7 linked regions of the Xenopus tropicalis genome follow. The protein of the gene in region 2 interacts with the protein of the main gene of each other region in a pairwise test. Links are inferred from orthologs where the notes say so. Each region holds a gene or a part of one and is shown on either strand. Other genes may lie near its edges.

Region 1 (3,964 bases), on a different chromosome or scaffold from region 2:
TACAGAGAAGGAATGTTCTGGGCACACAATAAGCTGTACCCCCATACTGTACTGTCTAAGGGAAACACTATGGCACCCCCTACCCATATGTATAAATACAAATATACAGAGAAGGAATGTTCTGGGCACACAATAAGCTGTACCCCCATACTGTACTGTCTAAGGGAAACACTATGGCACCCCCTACCCATATGTATAAATACAAATATACAGAGAAGGAATGTTCTGGGCACACAATAAGCTGTACCCCCATACTGTACTGTCTAAGGGAAACACTATGGCACCTCCTACCCATATGTATAAATACAAATATACAGAGAAGGAATGTTCTGGGCACACAATAAGCTGTACCCCCATACTGTACTGTCTAAGGGAAACACTATGGCACCCCCTACCCATATGTATAAATACAAATATACAGAGAGGGAATGTTCTGGGCACACAATAAGCTGTACCCCCATACTGTACTGTCTAAGGGAAACACTATGGCATCTCCTACCCATATGTAAAAAAACAAATATACAGAGAAGGAATGTTCTGGGCACACAAAAAGCTGTACCCCCATACTGTACTGTCTAAGGGAAACACTATGGCACCCCCTACCCATATGTATAAATACAAATATACAGAGAAGGAATGTTCTGGGCACACAATAAGCTGTACCCCCATACTGTACTGTCTAAGGGAAACACTATGGCACCCCCTACCCATATGTATAAATACAAATATACAGAGAAGGAATGTTCTGGGCACACAATAAGCTGTACCCCCATACTGTACTGTCTAAGGGAAACACTATGGCACCTCCTACCCATATGTATAAATACAAATATACAGAGAAGGAATGTTCTGGGCACACAATAAGCTGTACCCCCATACTGTACTGTCTAAGGGAAACACTATGGCACCCCCTACCCATATGTATAAATACAAATATACAGAGAAGGAATGTTCTGGGCACACAATAAGCTGTACCCCCATACTGTACTGTCTAAGGGAAACACTATGGCACCTCCTACCCATATGTATAAATACAAATATACAGAGAAGGAATGTTCTGGGCACACAATAAGCTGTACCCCCATACTGTACTGTCTATGGAAAACAATATATGTATTCTTATCCTCCCCTCTCCATGCTATCTGTATCCATGCCTCCTGTACCTTCATTGTGTAACCTCCTTCCTTATCTTACTCCGTGTGTGTCTGTTTCTAGGGAACAACTGGAAGTCCCAAAGGGGCAACTCTTAGTCACCACAACATTGTTAACAATTCAAGCCTTGGGGGAAGGCGGATGGGCTTCAACTGGAGGAAGGTGAGGCAATATTGGACTGATTCCTGGCATTCCCAACCTGTAATGGATGGAGTCGCCATCTGCTTTTTAAATGACCCAGGGACCCATATTTCTTCCAGGGCGTTAGAACAGCCATCCCGGTGCCGCTGTATCACTGCCTGGGCTCTGTGATTGGGGGAATGGTTATGGCAGTTTATGGTACCACCCTGGTCTTCCCGTCTCCAGGTTATGATCCTCGGGCTCTCCTTGAGGCTATTTCCAATGAGAAGTAAGAACCCTAGATCCCCTCCCCCCCAGTGCCCTCAGGTTCCCCTCTGCCTCATCATTCCATGTTCCGCTGGCACAAAGAGCTTACAATCTATATTAAAGAGCCTGGGGCACAGGCACAAGTAGGGGATGCAGGTTACGAACCCCATGTCTTCCTGGATTCAGAAACCACAAGCATTTGCTATTAAACCTGGTTGTGCCACTAGGTCACACTGCACAGGTCCCGGCATATATCGTATCATTAGTCCAGTGCTCTGTCTGCCAGCAAATCATTGTGTTGTTTGAGGATTCTGCCACCTTCTGGTTGTTTGGTAGTAGAGCACTGCGCTAATAGTCCTATATCTGTTAAGGTCCCCATACACTGGCAGATCCGCTCGTTTGGCGATGTCGCCAAGTGAGCGAATCTTCTCCCGATATCCCCCACCTACGGGTGGGCGATATCGGGAGAATCCAGGGTAATTTGATCATTTGGCCCTGGGGACAAACGATCAAATTATAACGACGGGTATAGGTAAAGTCTGTCTGGGTATCGCATCAATGAGCCGGTGCAGTCCCCGATCCAACTAGATTTTCTAACCTGGCCGATAGAGATCTGCCCGATTTCAGGACAGATATCGGTCGGGCAGGCCCGTCAGAAGTGCCCATACACTGGCCGATTAGCTGCCGAATCGGTCCAAGGGACCCATATCAGCAGCTACTATCGGCCCGTGTATGGGAGCCTTTAGAAGTATATTTTATTGGGCAAATGTCGTTTCATGGTACGTCTTTTGCAATATTGCTTTATGCAGTATATGCTGCCCTCTATTGGTCCCCCCTGTGCACTGCACTTTTGTTTTATGCTGCTCTGTGTCTGCTGTGGGAGTGTTCCGACTCTCTGATAGATGTACCTTTTTAATGAGTTAACTGCACATTATGTTACTTTCTTCTAAGGTGGTTACTGAGTTGCTTTTATTCTGTGTATTTTCTAGGTGCACTTGCATGTATGGAACCCCCACCATGTACATAGATCTTTTGTCTCAACCTAACTTTGCGGCTCACATCTCCACACTCACTACTGGTATGTGATCCATCTGTAGCTTGTTAGGGTACCTGAGCTCGGCAGGCCCAATATATCTGCAGTGGGGGCAATATACTGGCACTGTTATGGGCAGCTTCATTGTCGTAAGGCTGTTTTATTATTACAGAGAAAAGGGAATCATTTAACCATTAAATAAACCCAATAGGGCTGTTCTGCCCCAATAAGGGGTAATTATATCTTAGTTGGGATCAAGTACAGGTACTGTTTTATTATTACAGAGAAAAGGGAATCATTTAACCATGAAATAAACCCAATAGGGCTGTTCTGCCCCAATAAGGGGTAATTATATCTTAGTTGGGATCAAGTACAGGTACTGTTTTATTATTACAGAGAAAAGGGAATCATTTAACCATTAAATAAACCCAATAGGGCTGTTCTGCCCCCAATAAGGGGTAATTATATCTTAGTTGGGATCAAGTACAGGTGCTGTTTTATTATTACAGAGAAAAGGGAATCATTTAACCATTAAATAAACCCAATAGGGCTGTTCTGCCCCCAATAAGGGGTAATTATATCTTAGTTGGGATCAAGTACAGGTACTGTTTTATTATTACAGAGAAAAGGGAATCATTTAACCATTAAATAAACCCAATAGGGCTGTTCTGCCCCAATAAGGGGTAATTATATCTTAGTTGGGATCAAGTACAGGTACTGTTTTATTATTACAGAGAAAAGGGAATCATTTAACCATGAAATAAACCCAATAGGGCTGTTCTGCCCCCAATAAGGGGTAATTATATCTTAGTTGGGATCAAGTACAGGTACTGTTTTATTATTACAGAGAAAAGGGAATCATTTAACCATTAAATAAACCCAATAGGGCTGTTCTGCCCCAATAAGGGGTAATTATATCTTAGTTGGGATCAAGTACAGGTACTGTTTTATTATTACAGAGAAAAGGGAATAATTTAACCATAAAATAAACCCAATAGGGCTGTTCTGCCCCAATAAGGATTATTTATATCTTAGTTGGGATCAAGTACAGGTACTGTTTTATTATTACAGAGAAAAGCGAATCATTTAACCATTAAATAAACCCAATAGGGCTGTTCTGCCCCCAATAAGGGGTAATTATATCTTAGTTGGGATCAAGTACAGGTACTGTTTTATTATTACAGAGAAAAGGGAATCATTTAACCATTAAATAAACCCAATAGGGCTGTTCTGCCCCAATAAGGGGTAATTATATCTTAGTTGGGATCAAGTACAGGTACTGTTTTATTATTACAGAGAAAAGGGAATCATTTAACCATTAAATAAACCCAATAGGGCTGTTCTGCCCCAATAAGGGGTAATTATATCTTAGTTGGGATCAAGTACAGGTAC
Region 2 (4,554 bases):
AAGACGAAAGGAAGAGGATTGCTCGCTCCCCAGTCTGGTTCAGTTTTCTGCTAACAGGAGCACCGGCCCAGGGTATCAGGTAATGATGATACAATCACTGGGGGGCACCCACCAATGACTAAACCTTTCCTTCTCCTTTAATAATAACAATAATAGGTCTTGTGCAGGAAGTATAAAGAAATCAATGTCTGTTTGGGCAAGCAGACATAATTGCTCAATAAATGGATTACAGGAAGCTTTATCTTTCCTTTCTCCTCACATCTCTCTAACATGACTACAAACATATGACCTTGATATGCATTAATAAAGCCTCAAACTGAAATTCAGTACTGTAAAATGTATAATATTATGTATTAGTTATAGCAGTACTAACATTTACTCCTGTGTCTGATTGTTACCATTTATTATGCAGGGGTTTCTGGGTTAACAGTGTTAACTATAAATCATTTGGAATTTCTTTTGCTTCCCGATTCTCTGCATCCAATGCCACTAATCAGCTGATAACAGGCAACACCCTTCCTAGAGGCTTCAAAGGCCAGTCCAATCAGCCTGCCATGAGTCAATGCTGCAATAAAATACCCCCACCCAACACCTTTTACTAGAATATGACTAAAAAACACCAAAATATCTCAAAATATTAAAAAAGGGTTTGTGGTAGGACCTCAAGTTAAGGAAACACAACCTGGTCCAGTTTTCGTTTTAACTTAGAAAAGGGTTAGCGTCAAGAAGAAGAAGAGTTTGATGCATTTTGCATTATCATGGTCATAAGATCTTGCATTTTTTCCTACTGCCTCATAAAAATTTCAGGCCAGTTAGCCGACAGCTTGGCAACGGGAGGTGGAAGTGCAATAGATCAGCCTTTTGGCAAGTTCCCAAATACTGGAGCCACAGTGAACTCAGTACAGAAATGTAATTTTGAAAAATACTTTAAATAAATGTCCAACCGGGGGCCCAACAGCTGCTGTCCTGCAATAATGTCAACTAGAAGACTAAGACAATGGTCATTTAGCCAATGCTAATTGTAAAGTGTCCATCCAGCAGCCCTCCAGCCGTTAGACTAGTGGCACCCCATGCTGTAGAAAAAGCCAATGTATGCTGATCTACTTCTTGCTGTAAGTGCACCGACAGGCATGTTGTTGGCCTACACATGCACACACAAAGCGGGTGTCATACTTTCGCATTTCTGTGCCAAAATCCGCTCAGGCCCATAGTGTACCTGTCAGTGTGCAGATAGAAGTGGATGGCCTTTTGCCCAGCTTGATTTTGTACACAAAGCCTCGGCTACAGGGGCCCAGAATATGCCAGTTAGTAGAGATTTGGGTAGAATGCATATTTTTCAACCTTGGAAGCCAAACTTACAAGTCAATTAGTGTAAGTGTTTTTGGAGAACACTATTTGCTGCCCTAGATATTCTTGGAACTATGGCAGAATAGCTAATAGTAAAGATTACATATGGCAATAACCTTGTTATGAGCTGATGGGGCGGCAGCCAAATACTGGGTGTCAAATATGTGCTTGACCCAAAAAAGTACAGAAACCACTGCCCTAATCCAACAACTACGGCTACACAGTCCTAGCGACGTAGTCCAACACCTGGAGCCACAGACTCGTAACAAGCCCTAGTCCGACACCTGGAGCCACAGACTCGTAACAAGCCCTAGTCCAACAGCTGGAGGGCCACAGACACATAACAAGCCCTAGCCCAACAGCTGGAGGGCCACAGACTCGTAACAAGCCCTAGTCCGACACCTGGAGCCACAGACTCGTAACAAGCCCTAGTCCAACAGCTGGAGGGCCACAGACACATAACAAGCCCTAGCCCAACAGCTGGAGGGCCACAGACTCGTAACAAGCCCTAGCCCAACAGCTGGAGGGCCACAGACTCGTAACAAGCCCTAGCCCAACAGCTGGAGGGCCACAGACTCGTAACAAGCCCTAGTCCAATAGCTGGAGGGCCACAGACTTGTAACAAGCCCTAGCCCAACAGCTGGAGGGCCACAGACTCGTAACAAGCCCTAGTCCAATAGCTGGAGGGCCACAAACTCGTAACAAGCCCTAGTCCTATAGCTGGAGGGCCACAGACTCATAACAAGCCCTAGCCCAACAGCTGGAGGTCCACAGACTCGTAACAAGCCCTAGCCCAATAGCTGGAGGGCCACAGACTTGTAACAAGCCCTAGCCCAACAGCTGGAGGGCCACAGACTCGTAACAAGCCCTAGTCCAATAGCTGGAGGGCCACAAACTCGTAACAAGCCCTAGTCCTATAGCTGGAGGGCCACAGACTCATAACAAGCCCTAGCCCAACAGCTGGAGGTCCACAGATTTGTAACAGGCCCTAGTACAATAGTTGGAGGGCCACAGACTCGTAACAAGCCCTAGTCCAACAGCTGGAGGGCCACATATTTGTAACAAGCCCTAGTCCAACAGCTGGAGGGCCACATATTTGTAACAAGCCCTAGTCCAACAGCTGGAGGGCCACAGATTTGTAACAAGCCCTAGCCCAATAGCAGAAGGGCCACAGACTTGTAACTAGCACTAGTCCAACAGCTGGAGGGCCACAGGGCAGACATCCTGGAATCAAATCGTACGTTCTTCTAGCAAAGAACCTCCCTTTCCAGCCCTTGGCACAATACGTCCTTACTGCGGTTCCACTGATTATCAGTATTTGTTCTGTCAGAATAACATGAGGTTTTGCAAGCGATTAAATCGACACACACATTGCACTAACCAGCCCGCACAGCCTGTCATTCACACGGGAGGTTCCTATTGATTTGCCGAGTCAGGCCTGCAGTAACTAGCATAGCATTTGGAAGACTGTCAGCATATTATATTAATGGTACTGCGTATAACCTCTTACCAAGAAAGCCCGCACTGTTTAATCACCGCTACGGCACCTACCAGCTGATTGGCACTCCTGTTGTCCCCTTCCGCCATTGTCTGTCACAGTCCCTGCTAGAGCGCACTCTCACACTGGCAGCGAGCAGCTAACGCACTGTTACATATAAGGCGGCTCCCGGCATCCTTCACGAGAACTAGGCTGCCTAGCAACAGCACAAGCAATAGATTTAGGATTGGTGGGATTAAGCAAAAACACAGACCAGTCGGCCAATCGCGATGTTGTATGATAAATCTGCCAAATTACATTACAAATGTTTGAAATTTTTTGAATAGCCGTTTTGACGCTTGAGGGGTGTGATAAACAAAAGGAAAGGTTTCGTGTAGGGCATTGCAAATCCATGTGCTATCCATTCGGCAGAGTGACAATAAGGAGAGGCGCAGCTACACACTGCGTTACTCGGTGAGGCGGCGGCACTGCATGCCCATATTGGCATACCTCTTGTGGGGAAAATTCTGATGCGGGTGAAAGAACATACCTAGGACTTGAACAGCTACACAACTGTGAAACTCACAGCGCCCTCCACAGATCATGGGCAAAACTGCATGAGTTTTTGAGGTGGAATGTGGCTGCCTTTTGACATTTGTATTAAAACAAGTAAACATGGAGCAAGTTAGTGCCCCATGCGCCCCGTATAACTTCTAGGCCCCCTCAAGTCGCAGAGTCTGCTATAACCATAGTTATATCCCCCTACAGAGTACCCAATCAGTTTAATTGAGGTGTCATCACCCCTAAGCCCAGCACAGAGCCCCCAATTAGCAGAACCCCAAACAGGATTCCAGCTCGGCTACTGTGACTGGTTGGAGTGCTGAGGGCCTGATCCATTTCCTGTAACAAGCATCCATTGCAGTAGCTCTCTTGTTCTGGGCTATTATAGGTGCCTTGCTCTGCAGGCAGACCCCTCCTACTGTTGCTAATGTGGCCCTAATTCTCTGAACAGGCCTCAGGCACAGTGGGAGCAGCCGATGGACTAAGGGCTATACAGGTGTGTGACTGGTAGCCAAACGCAGTGCAGCCTATACCTGTTGCTTTATTTCACTCATCCAGAGACTCATGATGCAAAACCCGACATTTGCAAATCCGAAGGAGGTACAGTTAAGGGCCGTGACAAACGGGGATATTAGTTGCTAACGACAAATCTCCCTTGTCGTGGGCGACTAATCTCTCCGAAATGCCATCCCATCGGCTAGAATATAAATCGCCGGTGGGATGGCATTCGCGGCGCCGCAATTTCCCGACACCGCGGAATTTGTCTTGAGAGGAAACTTCTGCAATTTCAGGAAATCGTGGTGCCGCGTATGCCATCCCATGGGATGGCATTTCAGAGAGATTAGTCGCACACGAAAAGGGAGATTTGTCGCGGGCAACTAATCTCCCTGTCTGCCATGGCCCTAAAGGGGACATAGTGTGTGAAAAACAATATTGTGCCAATGAATTGTACTTATCTACAGTGGATATAAAAAGTCTACACACCCCTGATAAAATGTCAGGTTCCTGTGCTGTACAAAAATGAGACAAAGATAAATCATTTCAGAACTTTTTCCACCTTAATGTGACCTATAAACTGTACCACTCAATTGAAAAACAAACAAAACGAAATCTTTTAGGCAGAGGGAAGAAAACAAAAAAACTAAAATAATGTGGGTGCATAAGTGTGC
Region 3 (3,964 bases), on a different chromosome or scaffold from region 2:
TTGTGCCTACCTTATATTTTGGGAGCTCTAGCCCTAGATACAATTCTATAAGTCTTTTTTAATTGAACCACTTGAAAAATCCTTCAAATAAAATTAATAACAAAAATAAAATAAAACTGCACGCTGGCTCAGTATGACCTTGTTGCATTTATTACAAAAATATTTGTTGAGTATTAACAGTATTCTTTTTCTATTGCAGATATTCTGTATTTCGGCTGTTATAGAAGTATGTTGCCAAGGGACCAAGAAGGTGTAAGTGATCCTCTATGTCTATTTTAACTAACGCTTACCCATAGCTGTCAAAAATGGTGAGCATATAGACCCCCCAGTTCTTCTCCGCCTGATGGCAGTGGTGGTCAATATATTCCATGTGCCTTCATGTACTAAATACATTAGTTTCAAGACGCAGTGCCCTATTTTATGCCTCGAATAATGGGTTTTCTAAAATCCATTATTTATGTTATGTCTATATGGTTAAATGCGTTTAAACAAGCAACATGGATATCTTCTCTCTGAACTGTTCCAGTATGATACATTAGTTGTTGGCATTTCCAATCAGCATATTTAGCCACTACAGGTATTGAACCCCTTATCCGGAAACCCAATTATCCAGAAAGTTCTGAATTGCGGAAAGGCCATCTCCCATAGACTCCATTGTAATCAAATAATTCACATTTATAAAAATGATTTCCTTTTTCTCTGTAATAATAAAACTGTACCTTGTACTTGATCCCAACTAAGATAAAATTAATCCTTATTGGAGGCAAAGCAATCCTATTGGGTTTAATTACTGTTGAAATAATTTTTTTAGTAGAATTTGTTTTTTTTGTTGGAGATCCAAATCACGGATAGACCCCTTATCCGGAAAACCCCAGGTCCCGAGCATTCTGGATAACCGGTTCCATACCTGTATTAATATTTATCCCACACTTGCAAGAATGACTACAACTAATGTATCGAGTTGTGACAGCTGATCTCTATACCTTTTTATAAAACTTAAAGGGCACCTGGCCCTAAAATTGTTTCCCTACCAGAGGTGCGGGCTTCCAGGCAGCTTGTGGTGTGAGCAGCTATGTTAAGTGGGGCAAACTCTGGTTTGGGGAATCAATAGTTTTCTTTATTAGCCCACAAGCAATTTTAGGGTGATAGGTGCTCTTTAAGAGAAACAGGAGTAACTTATATGTCAAATAATTAACAGTTTAGAGAGTTGGTTGCTACTAGAAAGGTGAAAAAACAAAGCAAACCGACTTAAACTGCATCATAGAAAAACTATGAAACTAAAAAGTATTTATTTTTGTGTACTATTAAAAAACAAGTGAAGGTAAGCGGTTGACATTTAGGGCAAAAATGCTTTTACTATATTCAACTTAATTGGCTCGTTTTTAAATTAGGCAACAGAAAAAGGCTAGAAAGTTTTTTTTTTTTTTTTTTTTTTTTAAATCACAGCTTCATGTTAATGGCAGCAGTCAGGAAGCAGCTAGGGATTGAGTATTTGGGCAGATCAGGTTAGGTAAGAACCACAAAGCAGTCAGACCTGGTGTCCTGGCCATTCATTTGGTCCATGGGCTGAATTCTATAATATATTTCTATGTATATAATATATATATATATATATATATATCTAATATTAATGTAGGGCACAGAAAATATTTTCGTCAAACTGACTGGAAGTATGGCCTGGCACAGTTGTTATTAAACCCTGTTTAATCCAAGTTTTGGTAAATAATTTCCTTACATTTTTAGAATAACTATTCTATGGTAGTTTTAAAGCATGCAACTCTATAGAAATTGGGTACGTTTATAGTGACAGAAGAAGTACTAATTACAAGTGCATTTAAAGAAATAAATGGGTGGGTAAGGGGTGAATAATAAGTCTTTTTCTTTTCCTCAGTACTATAATCTATAAATCTATGTTTTGGTCATCATATGGGATCCTGAGATCTCCAAATAGTGAGACAACCTCCTATTACTTTAAAGATAAAAGATACTTGGCCTCACAAATGCTCAGGAAAGAGGTTTGGTGTATCAGAGAGAGTTAGAGAGATTCCAGCAGTGGCAGCACATGAAGTGCCCATAAATACACAGAGGTATGCCTACCTTTTGAACAATAAGCAAATATTGTGGCTGAGGAGGTACTGTTCTGATCCATTAAAAATGCAGACAGTTGAGCACACCTTTTAAGTAAAGAAATATTTGTGACCTATAGACATGCAGAAATGATTATCAGCTTAACAAGTGTACTAAAATGTGCTATTGCAATACACTTACGGCTTAAACTAGCGTTTCATTGTTTATAGATCAGTTGCCTTCTTACGAACCAAAGTGCGGTAAATAGTTGGAAGCCTATTACTAATTTATCAATTGTGCTGTGTAATTTGTGGTCAGAAAACACTGAGTCTAGTGTTCAGGTAAACACATAACTCACTCAACTTGTTATTTATTTTATGTAAACTTGAAACAGTGCAATTATAGCTGGGAGTATTTTTTTTTAAATTTCTAAGCATTCTAGTTTTTAACCATTTTGGTAAAATGGCTTAATAGTTTTTTCATTGTTTTGCAATCTTAGAAATCCTTATCTTTCTTCCTCTATAGCTCTGTGAAGACAAAAATTCCAGGGCATGTTTAGTCTGGTGCCTTTTTGTTTTCCCTTCCCGTTTCTGACATTATATAAGGCAAAGTTTGCATTCACAGTGGAGCTGAGTGAGGCTGATCAGCAAGTGCAGATTGCAGGGCACAGTGGGTGCTGGACTAATTTCTAAATCATGATCTTACAGGAAACCATCTCTGTGTGGGTGCGAGACCCTAAAGTACAGAAAGAAGATTGGCATTCTTATGTGGATTATGAAATCTGTGTTCATGTAAGTATCAGGGTGCACTCTTTTCATACTAATGACTAAACAGGACTGTCCTGTTACAGCTTGAAAATATAATCCTTATAGCATGCTGGGTAGGAGCGGTTTAAGGTTGGCTGCCACAACTAACATGCTGTTTGTATTAAAAGTTGGGTCTGGCACCACCTTCCTCTAAACTCACCTCATGTAAGGTGTTTATTTTGTGGCAGTGAAACAGACCAGCCCAAGTCTGTGCAACAACAATTGTCAGTTGTGTGTGTGTGTATAAATATATAATTGATGTATATTTCAGAATATGAAATGTGTTTCTCAATTTTTTTAAAACCCTGTGAATGCTGTCACTTGTACTGTTTCTAGTCCATTTGGCATTAGCACCAAATCAGTTATTTTTTAATGTGTGTGTATATGTATATCTTTATTTATTTGTATATGTATGCAATCCCTTTATCTGGAAACCCGTTATCCAGAAAGCTCCAAATTAAGGGAAGGCCATCTCCCATAGACTTTATTTTAATCAAATAATTGAAAAACAATCCTATTGGATTAATTTGGCGTTTGATTGTTTGTTTGTTTTTTTTTTCCCCCAGACAAACAGTATGTGTTTCACTCTGAAAACTTCATGTGTAAGAAGAAGGTTTCGGGAATTTGTATGGCTCCGACAAAAGCTCCAGAGCAATGCTGTATTAACGTAAGGCTATGTTATTTTATACATTGTTATACAGAGGTACAGCTAAGTTTGTATAATACACTATGGCATCGATAAAGCCCCTGATTAATTTTGCTGTGCAGCAGATCTTCAAAGAGACACCTTCTCTCTATGCAGCCTATACACAGACTGACAAAAACAAACTCCCCCTGCCCCGGCATGAGCTGAGGCTAAATGCTAATTTTACTAACTATGTAGGTTGTCCTGTGTTGAATTTTTGTATGAAAGTAAAATCGGAAGGGTGTTCACTACTAAATGTCACCAGGTACTTAATGCTGTGGTTAATATGGTTGTTTTTATGGTGTCTTACAGAAGATGGAAAGGTTAAACCACCTCTGGGCTGGTGGTTCTGTTGGCAGAAAACTGCACCGGGCCCGGGGTGTTTCTCAGCGAGAACCACTGAGCG
Region 4 (3,964 bases), on a different chromosome or scaffold from region 2:
TACAGGGGTACTATTTTGAGGGCAAAGTGCACAAAGGTTTGGGCATTGGCCCTTAAGTAGAGATGTAGCGAACTGTTTGCCGGCGAACTAATTTGCACGAACATCGGGTGTTCGCGAACGCGCAAGTTCGCGAACTTTCCGTGTATGTTCGCAATTTGGGTTCGCCGCGTTTTTTCTCTGCATTTTTTCTCAGCCTAAAAAAACGCCGCACAATCATACATGGCGTTTTTCAGCCTAGTACTGGTGTAAGCAAATCCCGTTTCCATGGTGCCAATAGCGCGAAATAGCAAACAACGCCGCGTATTTCCGCTAGGTCTGCCCGTTTTTACGCAACGCTTTTTCAACAAAGTACTTTTTAGAGAAATTTTTGCCCTTGATCCCTCTCCTGCATGCCCCTGTCCAGGTCGTGGCACCCTTTAAACAAATTTAAAATCAGTTTTCTGGCCAGAAATGGCTTTTCTAGGTTTTAAAGTTCGCCTTCCCATTTAAGTCTATGGGGTTCGCAAAGTTCGCGAATATTCGCGCTTTTTGGCGTAAGTTCGCGAACGCGTTCACGAACTTTTTTTTTTAGGTTCGCTACATCCCTACCCTTAAGTGCCAAGACTGTGCCATAATGTTCAAGTGCTCCAAAAGGTAGGATCTGTGTGTCTTTTTGAAGAGATTGAGGCAGTGTTCCTATAGAGGAATTCATGGATGGATTTCCAGGTGTAAAGAGCAGAAAGGTTTAAGAGATGGCATATTATAAACTGTCCAAAATTGGGTCTGCTGTTTTTGTGCCATCATTTGTTGAACAACTTCTGCCCCTTCAAGGTCCCTAATGTGAGTTGTGATTTACTAAAATATGAAGCAGGTGGGGCCATTATGGGAACTGCTATGGGACATAGAAGGGCACCACAAAATGAGAATCTATTTATTGGGTTACTCCAGCTTGTGAAATCCAAATAGGGTCTGATTCAGTTATAGTGATGCCCTGCTGATTCTTTGGGCAGCTTTGAACATGATGACTACAAAAGGTCAGACTTACATTGATTCTCAAGCCCAAAGTCCTGCAATACATAAAGATAGCTGGAACACATTAGGTACCTGTTGTCATAAACCCTTGCTAAAAGTAAAAGAGTTATGGACCTATAACCTATACTCCCTAAAGACAGGTGTTTAAAAGAGAACTGACTTTGCAGGGCCACTTTTTCACAGAAAGCAGGAAACAAAGTTTCAGCTTTTGCTGACGTCAAGTTCCCATCACCCGGTGGGTACAATGAAACCTCTTACATTATACAGGTATGGGATCCGTTATCCGGAAACACGTTATCCAAATTAAGGGAAGGCCATCTCCCATAGACTCCATTATAAGCAAATGCTTCTAATTTTTCCCTGTAATAATAAAACTGTTACTTGTACTTGATCCCAACTGAGATAAAATTAATCCTTATTGGAAGCAAAACAAGCCTATTGGGTTTATTTAATATTTAAATAATATTACTTCATTAATTGTTTATTTAATGTTTAAATAATATTTTAGTAGACTTAAGGTATGGAGATCCAAATTACAGAAAGATCCCTTATCCGGAAAACTCCAGGTCAGGGGCATTCTGGATAATGGGTCCCATACCTGTACATAAAAGTCCCAATATACTGCCTGTAATAAAATGACTTTTTTCGTTCATCCCGGCATAGTATCAATGTAAACCTATTACTAAAATATTTACTTACATTTGTTGCATTATAGAACGTATTCCCCTTTTTGTCCCTGCTCTGTGGCATTTGCTTTCTGTCTGCTTCAGAAGATTTTTTTTAAAAAAGGGGGAACGCACCTCACTTTAGTTTCCCTTTGGTCTAACAACCAAGAAAAATGGAAATCTATGACAACCACAACTACTGTGAAAACATTCAAGAATATGTGTTTTCAGAAATAACCTTTTATTATAGCCACATGACTGTTTTAGTCTAATTATTATGTTCCAGACTGAACTATATTCACAAGGGTATTCAGGTCTAATTTATGATATTCCTGTATTTATAGCCCCAGCACACAAATGTATGTTTCTGGTATGTACCACCAAGTTTGCGTAACATGGAAGACAATGAAGAAAGAATGAATCGGCTTAGCAAGGTAACTTGTTTGGATTTTTTTTAAACGATTGCCGTAGCAATGAAATATATAATGGCAAGCACATTATCCAGTGGAAGTAATGCTACATTGCAGTGATCTTATATTAAATGTGTCTGCTCATAGGTTGCCCCTATCATCAAAGCCAGGATGATGGAGTACGGAACCACAATGGTCAGTTATCAGCCACATGGAGACAAAGGAAATTTTTTCCGCATGGTTATCTCTAACCCAGCAGCAGCGCATCAAGACATTGATTTCCTGATTGAAGAAATCGAGCGCCTTGGGCAAGATTTATAAAATTTCCCGTAGGCCATTTCCAAGTCTATAGGTACACAATGGAGTTCTCTCAACTGTGTGAATGTATTTGTAGTGTGTTCCAACAAGTAATTCGATATTGTGTCGTAGAAACCTGAATATAGTTTTATTGGAGAAACATTGCTCCTGTAATGGTCTTGCATTTTAGGTTTTCACTTTATTGGCCGTAGGTTTGAATCATTGAAGCATCTAGATAATCTACAACTTGTATGTAACACAAAATAACTGCTGAAGTACCTTATATGATTGTGCCAAATGTATCAAAACAGTAGACTTTAAAGAATACTTCATGGGGGCAATACAATTTTAGGATCCAAAATGCCATATTTGCTGCCTGGAAAATTGCATTGCCTTTCTTAGTATTTAGATGGGATTTCTAATTTACATTTGATATATTTAAGACATATAATTTTACTAAAGAGAATATATATATATATATCGATATATTGACTGAAGATATTTTGTAAAGTATAGATTTTATTTTGTATCAGTTCTGTACCTGTTCTACAAAGAGATAACAAAAAGGCATATGAATAAGAAAGAACATTAGGGGTTATTAAATCCTATCCTGAAACCCTGAGAAGGCGAAATGAGTTTAGGCTGCAACTTTATTTTAAACTTAGATGCACGTTCGGGAATCATCAACAGCAGTACCTGAAATTAGGCTTATGTTATTGTGATTAGAAAAGTTCCAACAAGAATATATTGATTGGGCTAATCTATTACCACCGGGAAAATTTGGACCTGGGCAGTTTCCCAAGGAAACCAATCAGATATTTGTTTTCATGCATTACCTGCAACTGGCTGCAAAAAGTTACTCACTTATTGGTTGCTGTTACTCTCCAGGTGCAAATGTGCCCAATGTTGATTGGGCCCCATGACAATACCACCTTCTGAATATCTCTATCATTGACATGATTTCCGTAGATTACAAACCCTGCGTGCCCTAAGCCTGCAGTATTGTGAACATGCTAACATATTGCAGCTCTGTTATTTTAGCTGTCATTGTTGGCTCTAAACTTCTCATGCAAAATAGATGGGATCATCATATGCTTCTTTAGGTGTTATTTTAAAACTTCAAATATAGTATAGCATTGGCACCAGAAGATTTCTCATAGGAGGATGAAAATCTTTTCTCAAACACTGGCACAATGGGACTTATATATTAGTTATATATATATATAGTTATTTTACATATATATAACAAAGTTCAAAAACCTATGGCCTTTCTCAAAGGAACAAACCAAAACCAAGCCATTGAGAAACAACCCCTTGGGAAAAGGTCACAGTTGGCGACCAAATATATAGGTATGAGTGTCTGCACTCTATCATAGGTTTTAACTAAAGGTGCACAGTCAAAAACATGCAATATATTTACAAAACGTTATATTTATATATATATATAGAGATAGATATACATAGATCCATATATATATATATATATATGTAAAGTAACTATATAATTCTTGCAAGAAACCAAGGATGCTCTATATACACACAACTTACTCTTGCCTGCCCTAAACAAAGCCTACAAAGCAT
Region 5 (4,526 bases), on a different chromosome or scaffold from region 2:
CCTGATATTTTGCATTGTTCTATCTCTTGCACTCTTTATTTTCCATCTATTGCCCATAAAAAGGATCTTAGTATGCCCCAGAGAAAGATTGCTCCACCTCAGAAACCAACCACTCCTCTACCCCCTCCCCACTGACGCAGCACAGCTTCACCCAGTGTATTTCTCTCACTTTATCCACCTGCCCTCCTCCTATTCCACAAACCCACATCCCTGTATATATTACTATTTCCCCCCGCAGGGACGCATAACCTGTTATATGCTATAAGCAGGTGCTAACAAAAGGCACAACCTGGGGATCCAAAACCTGGTGTGGGCACACTCGCTCACTTACCCTATAGAGTTTGCCCCTCCCTCTTTTTGCCACCCGTGCCACTGAGCAGAATAGAGACAGCTCAACACGTGGAAAAACAGCCAGGCTTCATCTGGGAAGGAAGAGGAGGATCTGAGGGGAGAGGTAATTGTAAATGCCTGCCAGAGGGGCTACAAATGTCTTTGGTGGCAAGGAGGGGGGTTTATTAGACACTAAAGAGGAGTAGGCAGACAGAGAGACATTTAAAATGGTGCCTGTCTGACAACCATGAGATGGCATATAGAAAACTGTCTGCCATTCCTATGTTCTTCTTAAGCATAGGTTTTTTTTTGTTTTCACATTGAGACGGGGAAGAAGCATAAAAAATGGCAGCTTACTGTTTTTGCTAGATTACATAGCTTTATAGGGTTTAAAGACTGCTGACAACCCTAAATTGCTAGTCACTTGTTGGCCTTGATTGTTAATATACCAAAAGGTTATTGCCAACTATTGACTAATATGGTACTGTTGAATTCTGTTTCCAGATAGAAATGAAAGGGTTACTCTGATGACTGTTTCTTGACACTCTAGCATTTCCTGGTTGGTGTATAGGCACAGCGTCAGGGTATAACCCAAACAGTTAGTTTAATTTCATAGTCCTAGATTATCTTTATATCCTTACAGTTATTGTTCTAAATTGTGTCATCTGGAGAGAAATCCATAGAGTCACTTTCCTTCTATATATCTTTTGTTTTTGCTTAGATGTAATCATATGAGATGATTTAGATAAATGCTTTAAGAGAATGCATTCACTATATAGCAGGGATGACAGAACAGCTAATGCTCCCAGTATCTGCTGGGGCTAATGGGAGCTGTAGTTAAACAACATATAGCCAGATGTTTTTTCTGTGTGCCACCTATGCAGCACATGCATTCAATTCATTGTCAGGGGCAAGCCCCTTATACTGTCTAACATATCTGCATTGAGCTGTCACACAGATTGTGCTGGCTGGCAGATTGTCCCTGGCACTATTCCCCTCTCTCCAGCCTCCCTCCTCCACTCTCCATTTGCTCAGTCACTCCCCTATCTCTCGCATTCTCTCTCAAAGCTTTACTGAATAGGCCACTCTTTGTTCCTTTCGGTCATTCCTGCACACACTCCTCTTATTTTGTATTGTTCTACCTATTGCTCATTTAATTTACTAGCCATATAAGACTGTATAAAGCTTTGCTTTGCTGGACAGCTCCCTGCCTTCTTCATTCCCCCTTCCTGCTTCTCCCTCTCAGACAGCTACATCAGGAGGTCTCTCACTCTGCCTGAAGCAGTTATTTGCTGCGTTGTCTGCAGAGATAATGAAGCTGCTGGGGCATAAGATAGAGCTCTGGGCAGGTAATAGTCTATGGGTTTGTAACTGACTTGCTGCATATTTAACTGTCTACGAGTCACCTTGCATGCATGTCCCTGAGAATTGTGCTGGTGCAGTAATTGTGTTGGAGTTGGTTGTGAGCTTTGTACGGCTGGGTGTGTTCTTTTGCAGTAATGAAAATCTCTTGAGGGACTGTCTTCCAAACCTCATAGCAGTCTAAAAAAGAACATGTGGTGTTTTGTGGAAAATGAAACTTAGAATGATGTGGACATTTTCTTTCACGTTATTTCAGTAAGGAGATTTATTTTCTACTCCTGTAAAATGCCTTTTAAAAAAAAAAAAATATATAGTTGAATAAGCTTAAATGGGGTTTTGAAGGAGCTGTATGTGCTTTCTGAACCTATATATAGACTCTGATTTGCAAAAGAGTTTTTAAGTCCATGGCCCCTGAGAAATTTCTAAAAAAATGCAATGTACAAGTAATATACTTTGTCCTGTACATTTCCAGTTAAATGTCTGTAAGAGTTATAGAGCATTCATTTCTTTCAAAGGCTGGTACTGTTCCCCTGCTGGTTTATCGTTCCCTATGTATTTAAAGGATCCTCAATGAAATATGTGCTGTTCTTATTGATTTACGATTACAGTTCGCCATAACATGGATTCCTGAGATTTTAATAACATGCATTGGACTTTACAAAGATGCCATGCCTGAACTCAGATTTAAGCAAGATGATGTGGATTTAGAAAGGGGCATATGAACAATTTTTTGGGAAGGATATGCTCTGAGAATTTTATAATGAACACTTTACATTACACAAGTGCTTAAAATTTGGTAAAGGATGTACTTCCTTAGAATTATAATAATTTGGTAACAGAAATCTGTCTTTAGAATTTGCTGTATGATGAAAGTACTGAGAAATTGCTAAGTAATATTTGACTGAAAATTAGGGGATTCAGCTAGAATGTGGCGAGGGACATGTGTGATGAGAATCTGGTATAGGTAGGGGACATGCTATCCAGAATTCTTGGAACCTGGGGTTTTCCGGATAAGAGGTCTTTCCTCTTCATACCTTAAGTCTACTGAAAAATTATTTAAATATTATTTAACCCCAGAAGGATTGTTTTGCCTCAAAAAGAATCAGTTATATCTTGCTTAGGGTCAAGTACAAGGTACTGTTATAATTACAGAGAAAAAATAAATCATTTTAAAAATGTGAATTATTTGATTAAAACGGAGTATCTGGGAGATGGCCTTTCTGTAATTCTGGATAATGGGTTTCTGGATAACTGATATCCCAAGAATGTGGTAATAAGATGTGCTGAGAAACTAAAACATTACATGCCAAGAATGTAGTTATAAGATCTGTGCTGAGAAATGGGTGAGTAATGTGCCAAGAATGTCGTAAGGGGCATAGGAAATGAGATTCTAGTAGTGCAGATATCTGCTGGCAATTTCGAAAGGCACCTGTCCTCTTTTGGTAAGAGACATATTGATGAGAATTGTTATGTAACAAATATAATTTTGTTAGCAATATTTAAGCCTAGGATTTTACGGGTGCACAGTAAGAATAAGTTTAGTCATAACTTAGTTAGTCAGGAAGATGATTTTACTTGTCAGTTTCACAAAATACTTAACAAAAGCTATTGTACCAGAAGACAGTACAGATATAATTACAGTTTTTCTGAAGTCCATGTACTAGAGCCCCGTTCCTTAATCTTAGGCCTTCAGAGGTTTCTGGACTAAAACTCCCATCATTCTTTAAAATATAATCAAGACTGAAAGCCTGCTGGCTATGTAATACAACAATATTTGAAGACGCAAGGTTAATAAACTGGTGATTAGAATTCCACATTAAGAGGTATCATTAAAAATACCACTGATATTATATACTGAAATTGTTTTTAAAATACATAACAACATTTGTCCTAAGATGCTGTTGAGTTGTGCAGTTGTTGACTTAGAAGTCCAGAATTGAGAATGTCTCATCTTAACTATAGTGAATTAAAGCAGCATCTAACTGCGGTGGAATTTGCACAATAATCCTATTAAGTGCCCTGTAGCAGGTTAAAGTCTTTGGTGTTTATCAGAATGTAAAAATCTTCTGTCACTGGGATCTACTAAGTTATTGAATTTTAAGTGGCAAATCTAATTTTTTTTTGGCATGTGTTTGATATTTCATTGGGAAGTTTAACAAACAGCATTGACATAACAAAGAAAATGTGGGTTGGGAAAGTGATGATGCCTACTGGAGGATGGGTGTGAGGAATGTACATATCTGTGGGAGGAGGCTAGGAATGTGTATGCCCATTATTTCGATTTGGAAGGTGGAGCTCTTGATGTCTCTGCATGCTCTGGGCGGAAGATGTTTTCAACCCTGATATCTCTGTGGCATGGGGAAGAGAGAGGTATGTGTTCAGGCTGAGACTGTTGGTTTGTAGGAAAAGAAACCTTATACAGTATGCCTATTGTTTGTGGTTTTTTCCAGAAAAATTTGTCGCTAAACCACCATCTGTGTGCAAGCCATATTGTCATTTGATTGTTGTATCTTTTTGCTTAAACTGTATGATAGTATGAGATCTCAACAGAAAGTAAGTAATGCAATATCTATTCATTTTCCTTTATTCAACAGGAATTGAAAAGCAAAGACAGGGTGGGAGAAACAGGGTGGCAGAGCGAGAAGGTGATAGAATTTGTCTTAAATTAGGATAAAAAACAGCGGGCTGGAAGTTCACAGCTTCCTGACAGTGTTCTGCGTAGCTCGCACCTCTCAATGTGACTTAGAGAATGAGTCAGCAGATGGGACCAGCCATCTTTCTGTCTGTCTGTCTACCAAGCAACTTATTGATTTCTCTCTGCCTGTATGTTCAGT
Region 6 (4,592 bases), on a different chromosome or scaffold from region 2:
TTTGGATATCGATCGTATGTTTAAATGCAACAATCTAAAACTAACATTCAGACTTCGTACTTGTACGAAAGTGGCTTTCTCAAAATGCATTGCAGGTCCCCCAAGGATAATGCCAGATACACAATACATTCACAGATTTTATCGTTATCCGACCTAAAGTTTCTTACATGTCCGACCGACTAAACGAACAATGCTACTTGCACACTAAACACCATAAACTACGGCAGATGGACAATTGTGGACACAATCTTGTGCATGTCCATCTGCCACAGTTTATGCTGTTCAGTGTGCAAGTGACTTATGTGCCATATTTTTTAGGCACAAGTGTGATGCGCCTATTGACTCTGAGCACAACCAAAATCGTTGGGCTACCACCTGGTCTGGAAGTTGTGGTAGTGTCACGGTTCCTGTGTCAATAGGCAATAGTCATACACAATTGCATCATAGCATATTGACCCCTTGAATACAATGATGCTGGAATTCTGGGAAAATACATTGTTGAATAAAAAACATGGCGACTGCGCTCAAAATTGCCTATTGCTCACTGTGCTTGTGAATGAGTCTTTTTGTATGTCAGGGAAAAGTGACAGCTCTGGCCAGCCTTCTCCACCTGTGCACTTTAGCACACTCTATATTTGTGCAATTTTATTTCACACAAGTAAAAATGATCTTTAGTGCTTTTTTTTAAAAAGTTGTGTGCACAGAGATGAGTGTGTCTGCATCAGTAAAATTCACTGCATTTTCTACAAATTGTTGGATATGGCAGCCTGTCATGCTGGGTGGGTAAATGGCTTAGCGGGAAGCAGTGGCATAACTAAATGTAATTTGCTCCACAACAACCCAATTATTGGGCCCCCAAATACTTTAGTAATGCATATTTCACTCCCCGACACTGCTGTATTATAATAACTCTGTGCAATGGATCCCCAACCTGTTTTACTTGTGAACCACACTCAGATGTTAGAAGTGTAGGGGAGCCACACAAGCATGAAAAAAGTTCTTTGGGTGATGCCAAGTAAGGGCTGTGATTGGCTACTTGGTAGCCCCATGTGGGTTGCTGGCCTGCAGGAGGTTCTGCTTGGGAGTAAAATGTAGTCTCTGTGCTTTCAAAACTTGCAGCCAAGCCACAAATGTAAATATGGGCACCCTCTGAGGCCAGTGGGAGCAACATCAACAGGGGTGATGAGCAACATGTTGCCCCTGAGCTAGTGGTTGGGGATCCTGCTCTACCCCACTGAAAAAGTACTGCTAGAACATTCTTTAAACATGAAGGCTGTAAAGTGTGGTGAACACTAGGCAAGGTATATACACAGCACGAAACCATCACCTCTTCTGCTAATACAGGATAACAGATTTTACACAGGGTCATATTTAAACGCATTTAAAATATAAGCTGCACGTCCACTCAAAAGATGCTCAGAATGTGACGCCGATGAAAACCGACGCTTGCCAAATTATTGGTGAAATATAAGCCGCCCAGAAAAATCGGGAGTTGTAGTTTCAATAAACGTGAGACACAGAGGATATCGTCTCATAAAAACTACAATTCCCAGCATGCCATCGTGATGCCATACATGCGCGTTTTTTGTGCTGCCCCCATGCGGCAGCGTGGCAGGTGTAAGTGCGCATGATCACACGTGTTCAGTGATCCATAAGGGGCAAGAGGCCGGAGTGGGGCTGCAGTGCTAGCCCGGGGACTAGTAGACATGCTTACGTTTTCTTTACGGCGCTTGGCACAGGTACGTGGCATAGAACTCAGGCACCGGCTGCTAGAACAGTGCTGTCCTGGTGACTGTCATGTACTGAGCTGCACAGGTTAGGGTAAGCCTGAACTGTCATGTGGGTGATGTAATATAACTCATATGGGATGCGCTATCCTGGCATGGGCTAGGGGACCTCAGGCATACATTGTAAGTACAACACTTAACCCTTGCTTAGTCAGTAGCTTACCTAGAAATTCAGCTTTTTTTCCCTATGTTCCTACAGCTTCCAACATGTGTTCTTGAGTTGCTGAGAGTTTTAACTGAGGAGCAACAAGTGAGGGATCCCTAGCATAGCATAGTATAGCATAGCAGGGGTTGCTAGGCTACGTTTTGAACCCAGATGAAGCTAAAGCTTAACTGTACCAAGGGCAGCTTGCATCACCTCATTTGGCAGGGTTGATTGGTCCATCCTGAATCAATATCTTGCCAAGCTGCCTTGTGTAATCAATAGTATATGTCATTTACCCCCAAGTCATTGCTCAGGTACCAAAAAAGAGTTGCTTCTGATTGGTGCAGGGTATAACACCTAGATATCTAGGTTTTGTCTAGTCATTAACCTTCCAGCAGTTGCTAAAGCAGCAGTTCTATTCAAAGATAAAGGCTCCCAGGGCATAACTACAGGGAATGTGACTACTGGGGAGCCTATGGGCACAAAAATTGCTTTTCCTCTTTAGAAGTTTAACAAACATGCAGTATTATGAGGATAATCCACAATTTAAAGCACATGGTAAGGGATATGAATGGATAGAGTGCCAATGATGTGAGGGGTGAAGGCTGGGAATTAAGTGGCATAACTGCTGTGGTCTTAATTACACCACTAAAAGGCTTTTGGCAAAGATGAAAGTTAAATAGTTGTTTTTGTACTCTGTATCTAGTTTTAGCACGTCTGTGTGCAGCTTAACAGTAAAGGATAAGTACTGACGTGGCATTTACTTTGAAATGGCATTCAATTGCTGCTATCCCCTAACAGGAGCTTACTTAGATTTCTATGTAGATTGATGCTTGCCAGTAGTGGCTATGCCAGTCCTTTACATTGGCTTATTTTCCTGGCATTACCTTTTATTAAGCCATATAGCATTCTCATTTACTGCTGTGCTGTTAATAATAAGTTGTGACTGTTTGTGCCATATGGAACATTCCAGCTTGTTTACTGCTCTTTTATTGCTCTGTTAATTTTTGCATAGAACTTGCTTGTGCAGTTCATTCTCCAGTATGATGAAAAATACATCCTCACAGGACATAGCCTTTGTGGTTTGGTGCAACTTGTTGCATGTCAGCAGTTGCTGCAAGTACAGTCATGCAATCATTTTACTAACAAAGTCGATTTAGTGCCAGGTCAGGCGGCAGGCAGGGGTACCGTTCCAAACCACAGGGAAGCATGATCATGCAGCTGGTAAACTTCCCTTTGTCAGGAGATGTTATTTAACTTTTGAAGGGAGAAAGATTCAATAGATAATGTTCCTTATACAGTAATATTGCAGGGATATATATATTGAAATAGTCCTGTAACTAACTGCGTATGATAAAGCTTTTTGTTTCTCAGCACTATGGTAGTGGCTGTACTGCGTGGGGAAAGTAATAGAGCTGATAGTTCACTTGTGATTGGTTTCTTTTATCATTCAGTTGCTAATGGTTCAGAAAAAATGGGATCATTATTCCCCCTGGGTATATGCACATGTAAATGCATGTTCTTCCAGTTATGTAAAACACTTTGGGTTTATATTGTAGACGAATAACTAGTCAAACTGTAGGTGCAGCTTAGTAATAAAATCTTTGGTTCTTCAACTGTTCAGCCTGTTCCCAGAATTCCTTCTGAATGCTCATTACTCTTTGAATGTAACTACAGATCCTGACATGTATGTTAAAATCCTACTGTGTATCTTCTGCTGTATAACTATGCATGGCCAGTTTTCTATAACCCCTAAGTAAAGAACCCACGGCACAGTAAAAAGCTCTCTTGTCCACCACCGACTGGACTCCACTGGGAGACTATAAAGGTCATTTACAGATTCAGGTGCAGTTGCACTTCTCCACTTTTCTCTGCAGTGAGTTGTGCGTTAAACCTAATTCATGAAGGGCAGTGGTACACGGGGAGATTAGTCGCCTCACGACAATGCCATCCCACTGGCTAGAATGTAAATCACCGGTGGGATGGCATATGTGTCACTGTGATGTCCCACAGTCGCCTGAAGTTGTCTTTGGAGGAAACTTTGGGCGACTGTGGGACATCGCTGCGACGCGTATGCCATCCTACCAGCAATTTACATTCTAGCTGGTGGGATGGCATTGCGGGGAGATTAGTCGCAACAACGAAGTTTTGTCACGGGGCAACCAATCTCCCCGTGGACCACTGCCGTAAAGGTACTTGCATCAAAATGTGCTCTCTTGCATTTAAGTATGGTTGCACTCTGCCACTCAGTCCTTCCTGCCTTCCGAGACAAGCGTTTCTGTGCCTATTTATGGGGCTCAGTAAACACTGAAAATGACACCAGATGGACTTCTGCACAATTGTGTCTAATTTGCAACATAACTCCTGAACTGTTGCCTTAATTTTGGAGAATCAGATGCAGATGTGACAGACTCAATGCATTTACATCTGGCGCAATGCCCCTTTGTGACTGCCATGATGGTGGAGAAAAAATACTGCATAGTGGGGACACACATGCTGGCTGTTCTCAAAGTTGCACCTTCACCGTTGCATTTGTGGTTGTAAATGTAATATTCATTTAAAAAATACAGGTGCATAGATAGTTGTATCAAGTGGTTACAGATAAATAATTAAAACTTTCTGAATATGCACCCAAACTCTTTTCTAACTGGGGTGCACAT
Region 7 (4,759 bases), on a different chromosome or scaffold from region 2:
ACAGATTATTCGGGGGCAATATGATGGCTGCTGCTGGCACAGGTACAGATTGGGGGCAATATGATGGCTGTTGCTGGCACAGGTACAGATTATTTGGGGGCAATTGGAGGGATTGGCTGCTGCTGGCACAGGTACAGATTGGGGGCAATATGATGGGTAATGGCCCAGGTACATGGGGACAATATGAAGGCTGCTGGCATGGCTACATGGACAGTCAGAAGGGGGAAGGGTTGGATGATGGCAGATTCTGACTATCTGGGCCTCAGGGTTGCGATGTGTGACTGCTATGACTGGGGACTGCTCTTTCTTGTGTGCTGTGATTATTTGGTTGTATTTAATTTATATAAATTAAGTTTCCTTATAAATGTGTTGTAAGATGAATGAAACTGTCTGTTGTGCCACTAACAATTTTATTTAAAATGCAAAAAAAAAAATTAAACTGTATAATAGTGAGGTGGGAAATGGTAATGCGGGGGGCGGGGGTGCACTGATTGAAGCCTTTGCCTAGGGTGCCAAAATACCTTGGCCCGGCCCTGGGTCCATCAGTCTTCCAGGGATGCTGTACCTATAGCTGTTCTGTTGTGGGACTGTACTTCCAGCATTTGCTTCCCTATTCATGTTAGCACTGGAATGTTGTGGGTTAGTGTGTATGTTTCATATGTGGGGCACATGTAATAAAATGTTGGAGATGAACATGTATAAAGCACCTATACTTGCTGACAGAGGATGTGATGGCAGGGCTACAGTGGCTTTGACATTTGCAGAGACATTTTTGCTGCTGGTGATGTTCAGTTTTATTGGTCCAGATTTTTTGGGAGGGTCTCCTGGGTTAAGTCTGGGTAAATCTGACTGAAGTTGAACACAAAATGTAAACGTAAATAAGGCCCAAAACCACAAAGGTCTCATTTATGAACAAGTAAGAAATGCTTGAAAAATTGTTTACATTCTATTGCTATCTACAGAGGTGCTTCCTTTAATATACACTCATAATATATATATATATACCAATTTGCTTCATCTGATATCCTTATAAAGCCCTTTGCTCTGTTCCCTTACATCTTATTATTAACTTTACTATAATTCATCAGTCACCTAATTCCTATTATTTGTGACTTTGTTTTATCTCCCCCCCCACTTCCCCCAGTAAAATAACACACACACATATATAGTGGGGGGGGGAGATAAAACAAAGTCACAAATAATAGGAATTAGGTGACTGATGAATTATAGTAAAGTTAATAATAAGATGTAAGGGAACAGAGCAAAGGGCTTTATAAGGATATCAGATGAAGCAAATTGGTATATATATATATATTATGAGTGTATATTAAAGGAAGCACCTCTGTAGATAGCAATAGAATGTAAACAATTTTTCAAGCATTTCTTACTTGTTCATAAATGAGACCTTTGTGGTTTTGGGCCTTATTTACGTTTACATTTTGTGTTCAACTTCAGTCTCCCCCCCCCCCACTATATATGTGTGTGTGTTATTTTACTGGGGGAAGTGGGGGGGGAGATAAAACAAAGTCACAAATAATAGGAATTAGGTGACTGATGAATTATAGTAAAGTTAATAATAAGATGTAAGGGAACAGAGCAAAGGGCTTTATAAAGATATCAGATGAAGCAAATTGGTAAGCTGGGTAAGTAAGATGGAGGGGCAGATGTACAGCGGCTTTACAGTTACTACAGGGAGTACTAAAGCAAATCCCAACTCTCCCCGCAGCTTCTCTCTGGCACACTACTGGCACTGCTTCCGAGATAGCCCCGCCCACCACTCCTCACACACTGGCAGACAAACAGGAAGCAACAGTGAAGACAGAACGGGAGAGAACTGATTTCCTCAGCATAGACAGCCGCACCAGGAGAGCTGATAAGGTACTTTTATTACTCGCTGAGGAAACGCACCCCTACCAATGCCAAGCATTGGGCCCCACAAGATACACTCAAATAGAGCCACCACATCAGATGACTACATCCTTGGTATTAGTCTTTCGCACCATCCCACACGCATCCCCTAGCAACTCACTGGGCATGGCCTTATGACGGCAGGGTAACACCCAAGCCCCGCCCCCGGAAGGGAGGTCGCATACAACCAAAACAGAACAGGGAAAAGTTGTGTGTGTGAGAAGCTTGTTCGGCCTGAGAGGTAATGTCACAACCTGTATTCTTCTTATTTTGCTCTGTTTCATGTCTGGACGTGGCTGAGTCTTGCTTTCGTTGTTAAGAACAGCTTTTTCTGAGCTGCTGGGAGACGGGGTTTCAAATCATGCTGAAGCTGCTGCACACCAATAACATACACATACATGCTTCTCAGCTTTGTCCCATTTATATGTTATACGTGTCCAGCCCTTAATGCAGAGCTCCTATTTGAGTTCACATTGAGATGGGGTAATGGCAGATTCTGTTAATGCCTTTAAGAGGGGCCTGGATGAGTTCTTGAACAATCAGAATATCCAAGGCTATTGTGATACTAATATCTACAGTTAGTATTAGTGGTTGTATATATAGTTTATGTATGTGAGTGTATAGATTGGTAGATGTGGGTTGTGTGCTGGGTTTACTTGGATGGGTTGAACTTGATGGACTCTGGTCTTTTTTCAACCCTATGTAACTATGTAAGGGGTTTTCTTCCCTTTCCTATAATTGGTCCATCAGTCTTCCAGTGAGGCTGTACCTATAGCTGTTCTGTTGTGGGACTGTACTTCCAGCATATGCTTCCCTATTCATGTTAGCACTGGAATGTTGTGGGTTAGTGTGTGTGTTTCATATGTGGGGCACATGTAATAAAATGTTGGAGATGAACATGTATAAAGCACCTATACTTGCTGACAGAGGATGTGATGGCAGGGCTACAGTGGCTGTGACATTTGCAGAGCTGACAAGCTGTACTGCTTTTTTTGCTGCTGGTGATGTTCAGTTTTATTGGTCCAGATTTTTAGGTGGGGGGTCTCCTGGGTTAAGTCTGGGTAAATCTGACTGAAGTTGAACACAAAATGTAAACGTAAATAAGGTCTCATTTATGAACAAGTAAGAAATGCTTTATTGCTATCTACAGAGGTGCTTCCTTTAATATACACTCATCTATATTCTATATATATATTGTATATATAACAAAATGTTGGTTTATTGTGCTTTTATTACTGCAGTACAGCGGGCAAAGTACAGGGCACACACAGGGTAGCACTGGAATTAACACCTGCCTGAAGGAGCTGTTTCTTCCTGTGTTTGATCCTACACATACAACTGACTTCCACAGCAATAATATTCATACACACATTGAAGCCAGAAAATGGCATCGCAGCTTAAAGGAGAAGGAAAGGCAAAGTCACTTGGGAGTGCCAAAATGTTAGGCACCCCCAAGTGACTTTAATCGCTTGCCTTGTACCCCGGGCTGGTGCCCCTGTTCGGAGAAAACAGCACCAGCCCGGGGTACCTGTAGCGATGCGCTTCCTCCTTCCTATTCACGCTGCTGCTTATTGTCCGGGACAGGTGCATGCGCAGTAGAGTGAAAAGCCGACTTCTCTCTTAAAGTTTCTCTTTTCACTCTACTGCGCATGCGCGCGCAGTGAAGCAGGAAGGAGCAAGTGCTCGCAGCTACCCCGGGCTGGTGCTGTTCTCTCTGAACAGGGGCACCAGCCCGGGGTAAAAGGTAGGCTATTGAAGTCACTTTGGGGTGCCTAACATTTGACTTTGACTTTCCTTCTCTTTTAAATACAATGTACCAATGCAGTTTGAACAACCTGTAATGGAAGGATTGTGATATAATCCAGGGATACCAGTATACTTGATTGCACAATGTGCCTGATAATATATATACAAGGGTATCGGTTTGTGTACAATGGTACCCATTTTGTTTATGAATTAAAAGGGGAACTTTAGTTCTAATCCAACATTTATTAAAGAGCCCTGCACAACACAGAAACCCCTAATATACCATCACTGAAATATGTTCCTTCAAAAAGTATGAATAAATACCACTTTTTGTATGTTGAAATACAGCTGCAAAACAGTTGTTTTTCTGCATCATTTGAAATCCTGGCAGGGAAACAGGGACTAAAGCAGGCATCCTCAACCTACGGCCCGTGGGCTGGATACAGCCCCCCAAGGTAATTTACCCTCCGCTATGATCTGACGCAAGGGGGAAGCCATAGGGGAGCAGGAAGCAGTGGTGAGCTGCTAACATCTGATGTAACAAATTGTAACAGCATGCAGGAACTACATAACCCACAATGCATTGCTCAGTGATGTTACTTTCCTTATTGACATCACCTGTGAAGGGATTTGGAGGATGCAGGCTGAAGGCAGTCAACTACTGTTAAAGTAGTCAGCCATTTCAGCAGAAGCGTTTGTACCTGAGGAAGAGCAATGTTGGTGCCGGAAACACTGGATTTTATTCAATAAAACTTTTTTCTTGTGGGAGCACTGTACCTACCTTGAGCAGGCATTTAGCACAGGGTTCCTGTTGCATCTTGTGCCTGTATAGGGGGAGAAAATGCTTTAAAAAAAAAAAAAAAAAACCCTAGGCTGTGGCTGGACACGTTAACAGGCTGGGTTTGTGGAGAGGCCACAAAGGCCCGGGCCTAGGGCGCCAGAAACCTGGGGGCGGCATGCCGCCCCGCCGCACCAAAATTGTAAAAGTTTTGTCCCCATACGGAGCAATGGGGACTTCTCCCCACTGCTCCGTATGCATGTTTGGCCTACAGCGCATGCGTGCGCAACCCCGCCCCGCACTGTTCACGCATGCGCGCGTAAACCC

Evidence for each region.
Region 1: the proteins of arl6ip1 (region 2) and acsf2 interact in binary tests that used the Homo sapiens proteins (3 or more experiments, as listed by UniProt). The two-hybrid records come from large-scale screens. The link is inferred for Xenopus tropicalis from reciprocal best matches to the Homo sapiens genes ARL6IP1 and ACSF2.
Region 3: the proteins of arl6ip1 (region 2) and snx10 interact in binary tests that used the Homo sapiens proteins (3 or more experiments, as listed by UniProt). The two-hybrid records come from large-scale screens. The link is inferred for Xenopus tropicalis from reciprocal best matches to the Homo sapiens genes ARL6IP1 and SNX10.
Region 4: the proteins of arl6ip1 (region 2) and gad2 interact in binary tests that used the Homo sapiens proteins (3 or more experiments, as listed by UniProt). The two-hybrid records come from large-scale screens. The link is inferred for Xenopus tropicalis from reciprocal best matches to the Homo sapiens genes ARL6IP1 and GAD2.
Region 5: the proteins of arl6ip1 (region 2) and ndrg4 interact in binary tests that used the Homo sapiens proteins (3 or more experiments, as listed by UniProt). The two-hybrid records come from large-scale screens. The link is inferred for Xenopus tropicalis from reciprocal best matches to the Homo sapiens genes ARL6IP1 and NDRG4.
Region 6: the proteins of arl6ip1 (region 2) and shmt2 interact in binary tests that used the Homo sapiens proteins (3 or more experiments, as listed by UniProt). The two-hybrid records come from large-scale screens. The link is inferred for Xenopus tropicalis from reciprocal best matches to the Homo sapiens genes ARL6IP1 and SHMT2.
Region 7: the proteins of arl6ip1 (region 2) and inpp5k interact in binary tests that used the Homo sapiens proteins (3 or more experiments, as listed by UniProt). The link is inferred for Xenopus tropicalis from reciprocal best matches to the Homo sapiens genes ARL6IP1 and INPP5K.

What each region holds. Positions count from the first base shown.
Region 1 is NC_030686.2:43,860,815-43,864,778, reverse strand, and holds part of acsf2 (medium-chain acyl-CoA ligase ACSF2, mitochondrial), read left to right. Parts: intron 1-1,215; coding exon 1,216-1,314; intron 1,315-1,412; coding exon 1,413-1,561; intron 1,562-2,528; coding exon 2,529-2,617; intron 2,618-3,964. UniProt on the Homo sapiens protein: Acyl-CoA synthases catalyze the initial reaction in fatty acid metabolism, by forming a thioester with CoA. Has some preference toward medium-chain substrates. Plays a role in adipocyte differentiation.
Region 2 is NC_030685.2:32,818,650-32,823,203, reverse strand, and holds the start of arl6ip1 (ADP-ribosylation factor-like protein 6-interacting protein 1), read right to left. Parts: upstream 3,037-4,554; 5' UTR 2,935-3,036; coding exon 2,899-2,934; intron 1-2,898. UniProt on the Homo sapiens protein: Positively regulates SLC1A1/EAAC1-mediated glutamate transport by increasing its affinity for glutamate in a PKC activity-dependent manner.
Region 3 is NC_030682.2:41,694,799-41,698,762, forward strand, and holds part of snx10 (sorting nexin-10), read left to right. Parts: intron 1-199; 5' UTR 200-228; coding exon 229-252; intron 253-2,774; coding exon 2,775-2,858; intron 2,859-3,439; coding exon 3,440-3,540; intron 3,541-3,964. UniProt on the Homo sapiens protein: Probable phosphoinositide-binding protein involved in protein sorting and membrane trafficking in endosomes. Plays a role in cilium biogenesis through regulation of the transport and the localization of proteins to the cilium.
Region 4 is NC_030682.2:25,243,625-25,247,588, reverse strand, and holds part of gad2 (glutamate decarboxylase 2), read left to right. Parts: intron 1-2,020; coding exon 2,021-2,110; intron 2,111-2,233; coding exon 2,234-2,407; 3' UTR 2,408-3,964. UniProt on the Homo sapiens protein: Catalyzes the production of GABA.
Region 5 is NC_030680.2:75,844,153-75,848,678, forward strand, and holds the start of ndrg4 (protein NDRG4), read left to right. Parts: upstream 1-1,422; 5' UTR 1,423-1,642; coding exon 1,643-1,679; intron 1,680-3,995; exon of another isoform or gene 3,996-4,019; coding exon of another isoform or gene 4,020-4,062; intron 4,063-4,526. UniProt on the Homo sapiens protein: Contributes to the maintenance of intracerebral BDNF levels within the normal range, which is necessary for the preservation of spatial learning and the resistance to neuronal cell death caused by ischemic stress.
Region 6 is NC_030678.2:139,768,292-139,772,883, forward strand, and holds the start of shmt2 (serine hydroxymethyltransferase, mitochondrial), read left to right. Parts: upstream 1-1,650; 5' UTR 1,651-1,706; coding exon of another isoform or gene 1,707-1,739; intron 1,740-4,592. UniProt on the Homo sapiens protein: Catalyzes the cleavage of serine to glycine accompanied with the production of 5,10-methylenetetrahydrofolate, an essential intermediate for purine biosynthesis.
Region 7 is NC_030678.2:45,854,172-45,858,930, forward strand, and holds the start of inpp5k (inositol polyphosphate 5-phosphatase K), read left to right. Parts: upstream 1-1,854; 5' UTR 1,855-1,878; intron 1,879-4,759. UniProt on the Homo sapiens protein: Inositol 5-phosphatase which acts on inositol 1,4,5-trisphosphate, inositol 1,3,4,5-tetrakisphosphate, phosphatidylinositol 4,5-bisphosphate and phosphatidylinositol 3,4,5-trisphosphate.